Linked DNA regions of Xenopus tropicalis. The protein of the gene in region 1 purifies or fractionates together with the protein of each later gene. This does not show direct contact. Links are inferred from orthologs where the notes say so. Each region holds a gene or a part of one and is shown on either strand. Other genes may lie near its edges. The genes, in order: mettl9 and slc39a10.

What was found.
Region 2: the proteins of mettl9 (region 1) and slc39a10 purify together in Homo sapiens (co-immunoprecipitation; 3 studies listed by BioGRID and IntAct, with this or other methods). This does not show direct contact. The link is inferred for Xenopus tropicalis from reciprocal best matches to the Homo sapiens genes METTL9 and SLC39A10.

Annotation. Positions count from the first base shown.
Region 1 is NC_030685.2:25,156,692-25,161,277, forward strand, and holds the start of mettl9 (methyltransferase-like protein 9 precursor), read left to right. Parts: upstream 1-1,677; 5' UTR 1,678-1,775; coding exon 1,776-1,934; intron 1,935-2,597; coding exon 2,598-2,788; intron 2,789-3,447; coding exon 3,448-3,657; intron 3,658-4,484; coding exon 4,485-4,586. UniProt on the Homo sapiens protein: Protein-histidine N-methyltransferase that specifically catalyzes 1-methylhistidine (pros-methylhistidine) methylation of target proteins.
Region 2 is NC_030685.2:52,803,007-52,806,827, reverse strand, and holds part of slc39a10 (zinc transporter ZIP10), read left to right. Parts: intron 1-971; coding exon 972-1,141; intron 1,142-2,029; coding exon 2,030-2,230; intron 2,231-3,580; coding exon 3,581-3,704; intron 3,705-3,821. UniProt on the Homo sapiens protein: Zinc-influx transporter. When associated with SLC39A6, the heterodimer formed by SLC39A10 and SLC39A6 mediates cellular zinc uptake to trigger cells to undergo epithelial-to-mesenchymal transition (EMT).

The DNA.
Region 1 (4,586 bases):
AGTGAAACATGACATTAAAGGAGAAGGAAAGGTAAAAACTAAGTAAGCTTTATCAGAAAGCCATAAGCACTCACAGAAAAGTCCTCTGTCAAAAGAAACACAGGATTTCTTGTCTTCCCTTGTGTAAACATGTTTATTATGTTATTTTTGCACTTTACTATATTCCATATTTGCTTTAATCCAGGTCCATTCAAGTACTCATAGCTACATCAATATAAAGACAATAATGCAACTTAATATTGTTTCTCATTGACTGGGAATGTGGTGTTGAAAATGATACTTTAGAATGGTAAATAGTTCCACCTGTTAAGCACTACTATAGTTGTCTAGGATATTATCTATAGCTATGTTCAAACGTTGTGTCTTGGATATTATTTCTGTATCTTGATTTTTTTTTTATATGATTTTTGGTGTTAGTATAAAGGTCTTTGTCAGTTAGCAATGCGTATTTGTGTTTTTCTTTATATGTATTTTTATCTGCTCCTAACTTCCAAACTGTCCCACTTGAGTCATACATTTCTTGGTTCCTCATGAGAGACCCAGGGCTAGTTAAAGGCTTGTCAATGATTTGTTAACTAAGGCTGTTTTTCCTGCAAATTGGGGAAAGTCTTGTAGACCAGTGCAGGTCTGGACTGCGATTTAAAATAGGCCCTGGCATTTCAGTACAGAAAGGCCCAAACAGCCCTCCCAACAGCCCAATACATGACTATGGCATCTTTCAGCAGCCCCTCTGGAATTTGCCAGAACCCACAGATTGCCAGTATGGGCCTAGACCAGCGGGTTCTCACCTGTCAGTGTCATTTTGACACAAGTTTCTCCAGATCAATTGAAATTCTATTTTTATAGAGAAATGAAAATATTAAGAGTAAATATTGTAGTGTGAGATCCAGTGCCATTTCTGCCATAAAGTAATGGGAAAGCCTTACCCTTTCTAACTTTCAAATGGGGGGGGTTTCCACTGACCCAGCACCTAATAAAAACCACTGCTCTGTGAGGCTGTAATTTTATTGTTTGTTACTTTTTATTAATTATCTTTCTACTGAGACCCTCTCCTATTCATCATCCAGCCACTCATCCGACGTGTCCTGATATGTTGTGCAAGTATTGGGCCAAGCCCACAGGGCCAGGGGTTTCAGGCCGGCCTGCACATCACTATGATAGGTTACAAGCCTGGCCAGTAAAAGTCATGCTTTATGTCAATGTTGTTAATAGGGAAAAAAATAATAGAAAGACTGTAGTTTTTCCCTTGAAATAGTTGGCAACCCTCCATCTACCTCAGGTGGATTCACATAAATCTGGCCAGTCATACTTACTCACTGACAGACCCACTATAGCTCAATGATAACTGGACATGTACATCCAGCAATATGTCATTTTTACCTACAGTTTTCCCCACTGCCCAGAGGCAGAGCACATGCCCTTCCATTCTTAAAAACTGTCCCTTCACACATCCTCAGCCTAATCATATAGTCTATAAACCAATGAGAAGCTGAATACGCGGTTATGCAGTTTCTCGTTGGATCCCAGGACCGTGCATGATAGAGAAGAAAAGGCCGTGCTAGAGCGGCTGATCTGAGCTCTCGCTTGTGCACTGTGAGCAGCAAAGGAATGAGGTCCGGGCGGAAACACTGTTTCCTCTGCACAGGTTCCGCTCCTTTCTTTATTTTTCCATTCTCTCCACCCCTCTCTTGTATTCCACTCCTCAGGCTGATGTGTACATCCCGCTGGGCCATGGCCTGCTCCGGTCCCGGACGAAGTGAGTGGGCGCTGCTCAGATGAAACTGTTCGTGTGCTGGATAATTAGCTACCTGCTCTGCCTGGCCGGGCTGAGGAAGATGTGGAGTGGCCGGTACCTGAGGAGTCACCTCAGCAGATCCCTGTACATGAATATGATGAGCCACAGCCAGGCCCCGTACTGGGATGGGAATCAGCAGGTGTGTAATGTCACTCTGGTGGGGGGCAGGAAAGTAGTGACACACCTAGTACACTAATCAGCCCCCCCCCCCCCAACCCCTCAGGTGTCCAGTCATTAGCACCCCCATCTTCTGTCTAGTTCAGAGATCAGCAACCTATGGCAGTGTTTCCCAAACTGTGGGGCCTGGAACAGTGGCAGGGGGGCTCAGCATGCTGGCAAGTTAGGTCAAGATTTGAGGAGCACACTGATTTGCTTGCCTAGATACAAATGAAAGCCCAGATGTAAAGGTCTGTTAAAGTGAGATACGGTGCCCTACATTTGTCAGAACTGAGCTTTGTAATCTAGAAATATCTAAAAGCCTGATGTAGATTTGCCATCTCTCAACTCGCACTGCTTGTTTGGGCACAACTTGCGTGGGATTTTGAAACTGAAAAGATTAGGAGTGGTAGAATGGCAAGGTGCATAAGAACAACCAGATAGTACACTGAAATAAGGGGGGGTGGTGAATTCATTGTAGCAGCTTTTAAAGGGCACGTAAATTCAAAATTAAAATTTTGCCTAGTAGACAAAAACTCTTATCCTAAATCTGAAGTTCTGTATAATGCCCCTTTCAGTTTGCTTAGTTGCTACAATAGGTTTATTGTTTTAGATTTGGACATTAACGTTTGTGCCTCCTTTGCAGTGGTACTTTTGCGACACAGAAAAATTAAGTGATTGCCTTCGGCCGGTTTTCATCCAGAGTTACTTAGACCATGGAACCCAGACATTCCTGAACAGAAGTATTGAGAAATCTGGCTGGCTTTCCATTCAGCTCTACCATTCCTTCATGTCCTCTGTGTTCAGTATGTTTATGTCCAGAACATCAATCAATGGGTAAGTTCTTTACTTCTTGTATATGAAGAAGTGCTGTCATGTATATGCATTTCTGTTCACTCACCCATTGTAACATTAAAATAAATAACCCAAAGGATAGTATCTTATCTTTAATGCCATAATTTACTATATTAGAATTGCACCATTATATTATATTATATAACTGTTACCACTAGTTTGCAATGTAATGTTTATGTGTATAATGTTACTCAAAATAACAAAAATAAACAGAACTGAGCATAAGCTACCATATACCGTATCCATATAATTTTACTGACATTGGTAATAAACACTGTCTCTTGGAAGCTCAGACTTAGGTAGAGTTATTGAAAATGGGATAAAAATGTAGTTGGCTACGAATAATAAATAAGTTAAATAACTTATGAGTGGTGTAATCTGAGGCCCAACAAAGTTTCAGTGTACCCAACTGTCAGGCCCACATGTCAAAGGCAACAGGCTGATCAATCAGATCTGTCAGGGAGTAAAGAGTGTCTGCAGCTCTTTCTTCTTTATCTACCACCAATAAAGTGAAATTTTCAGGTTGAACAGATACATTTTTTGAAACTGAATAGTTGCTATACATGCCCTGATGGTCAGGCAGTATGGTCAAAATTGGTCAAACCTGGGTACATACAGCTAGCCTTTTCCTCTCTTTGCAGGTTGCTTGGAAGAGGGTCAATGTTTGTGTTTTCACCAGAACAGTTCCAAAGGCTTCTCAAAATTGACCCCGAGTGGAAATCACATCGCTTGTTGGATTTAGGTGCAGGGGATGGGGAAGTGACTAAAGTAATGAGCCCTCATTTTGAAGAGATCTATGTTACAGAAATGTCTCAGACTATGATATGGCAACTTCAAAAGAAAAAGTACAGGTCAGTTATATAAACAAATTCTGTATCAGGTGTGTATGGAACACTTAGAGATCACTGGTTGTTTGCTGTTGTTCCTCGATAAGTGTATAGTTTAAAGAGAAACATCTCCTTTTTACTAGTTTACCTTAAAATGCGTATCCATCATCCGAAGGAACCAATTATCTGGGTATAACTGATACCTGGAGCTTCAGACTATGACTTAAGCAGCGCTGGATGTTGGGCTTTTCTTTGCTTAAATTCAGGAAGTTGGGCAGGAACTTAGCTACCAGTTCTGATTATTATGGTTGCAGAAGAAAGTTTGGGAGTTTTTACTGCTGAAAACGTTAATCTCTTAAGGAAAAAAATATTTTCTTTTTTCCAGAGCACTGGTTCCTGGGCATTGTATGGATACCATGGAAAGCCATGGAAAGCTGTTAGGATCCCTAAACAAAAATTTACTTCAGCCAGCTAAGCTTAGACAGTCTGCTTAGGTGCAATAAATTAATAATTTGATGTCCCTTATATGGTAGTAAGCAGCTACTGTGAATATTAGATGTAAAAGCAGTATGATAATATGAGAGGGAGCTGCCAAAATACTGATAGAGATGTATTATTATTATTTGGCACCATGCTTTAAGTCTTAAGATACAATAATATGATCTGCCTCAACCCCCTCAGCTAAGGGAATAAGTATGTGAGTTTCTTTTTATTCTTCATGATACTTATTCTGGGACATATAGATATTATAAGCATGTTTTACACAGTAATGCCTGTTATGCCTGAGATATAGATGGTAAAACTGTAACCTGTTTGTCCCTGACATAAATGAATTCTTTTCTCATATCTAGAGTGCTTAATATTGATGAATGGCAAAGCACAGGATTCCAGTATGACGTTATTAGCTGCTTAAACCTCCTTGATCGATGTCATCAGCCAGTGACATTACTGAA
Region 2 (3,821 bases), about 28 Mb from region 1:
TTATGTTAATCGAGGTACATATATGCTATTGTGAGGTGTACCCCACCATATAACTTATCTTTATTGGTTATACAGTATCCAACGATGGTTGATTTATCAGGAAATAGTAATAAAACATTGCATATATCCAACCACATCTTCTATTACAGCGACACCCCTGTTTATATAGTGAATATAGTACCGCCAATACATAGTGTCTTGGCGGGATTACACTACATAGGGAAAGTATCTCCTTCCTGTAGGGAGTGGATGAACAACTCCTGGTCGACATTTAAAGGGGTACTGTCAGGGGGAAAACATTTTTTTCAAAATGCATCTGTTAATAGCACTCGAGCAAACAGTTTTTTTTATATTTAAATGTGATGTTGGGCTAGCCATGTTCTTAGTTTCCCAGGTAAGTTTCCCTGATAAATTCCACTGGGAGTTGGAGCGATATTCCCCCCCCCCCTGCTCCCTGACACCTGTTTTGCTAAAAATGCTCCCATTCCTCACCTAGTGGTAGATGTTCTATAAGCACTTAATTGTAAAAATCCAAGTCCAGCTCAACCAATTTATGACTCCTTTAGTTAACCTATTGTTTCTGCTACTCAATTTATCTGAAAGCAGTTCTAATGTGTAGCACTGGCTCCTTCTGAAAGCTCAGAATCAGTCACAATGCACTGAGATTGCCCCTACGCACCAATATTACAGCTAAAAAATATATATTTTTGTTCAAGAATAACAGTAGAATTAAACATTAGAATGAATTAATTGTAATGTACCAAGTGTCAATTAGTTAGAAAAACTATACTATAAGTTTTGTGCGCAGATTCTCCCCCTCCCTTTGGGAATACAATAGGATTCAAATTTGGTTTGGTGTTAGGCCAGTTCTTTTCATGCAAGATTTTGGTGTTTGTCAGAATCCTGAAAAAATGGATCTATATTTGTGACCGTTATACACATTTATTTACATTGCTTTTATTTCTTTACAGCCTGGATTTGCGGCCTGATCTCAATCACTGTCATAAGCTTGCTCTCATTACTTGGTGTTATCTTGATTCCGATCATTAACCAAGGCTGCTTCAAGTATCTTCTCAACTTCCTGGTTGCTTTAGCTGTTGGAACGCTCAGTGGGGATGCACTGCTTCATCTGCTACCTCATGTAAGTATTGCACTTTTTTTTTTTATCACAAATGTCTAACATGTGACCCATATGCTTTCTAAGATGTATATCTAAAGCCCCTCAGTAAATGTGATTGTTTATTGTATATGACTGACTTGTGATTAGCAATGCTATTTAAAATGCATCTCCTACTTACCTTCTGGCTGCCACCACTACAAAACTAAACCCGTTAAAGAATGTAAATCCCAAAGAATTCTGACTAATCAAAGAAAGTATAATAATTCCAATTTTTAAACATTTTAATAATTATTTATAACAGCTTTAATTTGTAAATGTATTTCACATAGAGCACTGCAGATCTCTCCACTCTCTATCTTTAGGCTCGGTAGCCAGAGGTACCCCTTTTCCCAAACCTTAGGTTCTGTCTTGGAGGTAAAGAGAGGTCTGCAGGGGTGCATTTAGAGTATAGTCAAATGCCAGATGCTCCTCCAGGCAATGTTGCCAGTATTTTTTCTTAAATGGGCAGTGGTAGTATATCTCTCTTGTGCGGCATAGTGCAATGAATATAGCTAATATGGTAATGAACTTGCTGTTTGCTTATTGTTCTAACAAAGAAACTATAGGTTTTTTTTTTTTTTAATCTCTAAACTAAACAGGGCAAGCAGGAACCTAGACCTAAGGATCAGACTCCATGTTTGGTTTTTGCGAGGAAAATAATTACCAGTGCACAGGTAACCCACCTGCAAAATGGGTGCCTGCTATTCATGGTATATGGACGGACTAGATTGCTTCTATCTAGTTTGCACACTCTGCATACCCTTACATGTTCATTCCCTGTGTATTCATTCTTGTCACAGTAATCTACTGTTCTAAGAGAATAATACTTTTGTCTTATGTGGTTTTTTTTTTGGTTTTTTTATATATCAGTCACAAGGGGGCCATGATCATGGTACAGAAGCCCCTAATCACAGTCACGAGCACAATCATGAATCTCTGCACAGTGAGGATCAGTCTTTTCTCAGCGAGTATGACGGTGTTATGAAGGGTCTTGTTGCTTTGGGTGGAATTTATCTCCTGTTTATTGTGGAGAACTGCCTGTGGATGTTTAAACATTACAAGGAAAGAATGGTATGTACAAAATATTTATTTAATAGTTATAGTATTTGTTATATTGCACTCTGAGTACCAGTATCACTGATGATGCTGAGACACTTTGCAGTTGGTCTTCATTGCTTGTTGTTCAGCAGCTCTCTGATGGAGAGTTTCAGCTGCTTGAATTACAGACTATAGGATGAATGGTAGAGGGCCTGAATAGAAGGATAAGTAATAAAGTAACAGTAGCCTCACAGAGCAAGTTTTTTGTTGCCCAAGTCAGCCCCCCCTCATTTCAAAGCTGGAAAGAGGCAAAAGGCAGCAAATAATTAAACTATAGGACATAAAAAATGAAGACAAATTTTATTAAACTTTTTATTTCTAAATTACACTGTTTACTTAGCAAATAATTCATTCTACCATTTAAAATTTTATTCTTGAACCAACAAATGTTTTTTATTTTAGTTGTAATATTGGTGTGTAGGCACAATCTCAGTGCATTGTGCCTGAGTCTGAGCTTTCAGAAGGAGCCAGCACTACACATTAGAACTGCTTTCAGGTAACCTACTACCATGTAACTGGAGTAGTCCCAAGCCGGACTAGGATTTCTTACTATTGAGTGTTATTCTGATATCTACTAGGAGCTGCTATCTTGCTCCCTTCCCATTGTTCTGCTGATCAGCTGCTGGGAGGGGGTTGATATCACTCCAACTTGCAGCGCAGCAGTAAAGTGTGACTGAAGTTTATCAGAGCACAAGTCACATGGCTGTGGCACCCTGGGAAATGAAGAATGAAACTGAAAAAATTAAACAGAAGAAATACTGTCACATAAACTTTTTTTTTTTTCCCCAAAATACATCAGTTAATAGTTGCATAGCAGGAATAAATGAAATAAGGAAATTATGCACTAGTTTTAAATTTACACTTCAGATAGTGGTTGTTGGACATTCACCATGTGACTATATCGTACTTACGTGCCACTGTGAGTTTATAAAAGTTAAACTGTGACACATATATTTTACAATAAAACATTTGAAATAACAAACCTGTTTTGTTGAAACATGAATTTATTACTTTTCATTTCTTGCTCATGTAGATATTTTGTCATTCCCTCTTCTCTCCTGTAGCCGTCTGCAATAAATGTATTTGTTAATGAAATATTTGTTTTGCAAACAGATGCTTAATAGCAGAATGATTTAAGTGTGTATAATTGCAGCACAACTCTTGGCCATTAGCGTCAGTTTCACAGCTTGCCCAGTACAGTCTGATGATAACTTCCCCTTGCGTTGGCCCTTAGCAAGTGGTTCCTATGTGCTAATTAAGTACACAGTGGCATCTCATTTGGATTCAAATTAAATGGGGAATTGGCAATTTTCTTTTGTGTAGGGGAAGCGGAAGTGGCTAAAGAGAAAACAGAAATTGGATGAGGCTGCAGTTGGCAGAAAATTATCTGATCACAGCTCAAATCGGAGGTCTGATGCAGAATGGCTTCAACTTAAGCCTTTAGAAGGTAAGATGATCCAGTGCTTTCTGAATGGTGACCCATTTTAAATATCATGGCGCCCACATTACCTGACTGTTGCTAAATGGGCATTTTTATTTTTTTTTTTTGGTAATGTTATTGGGA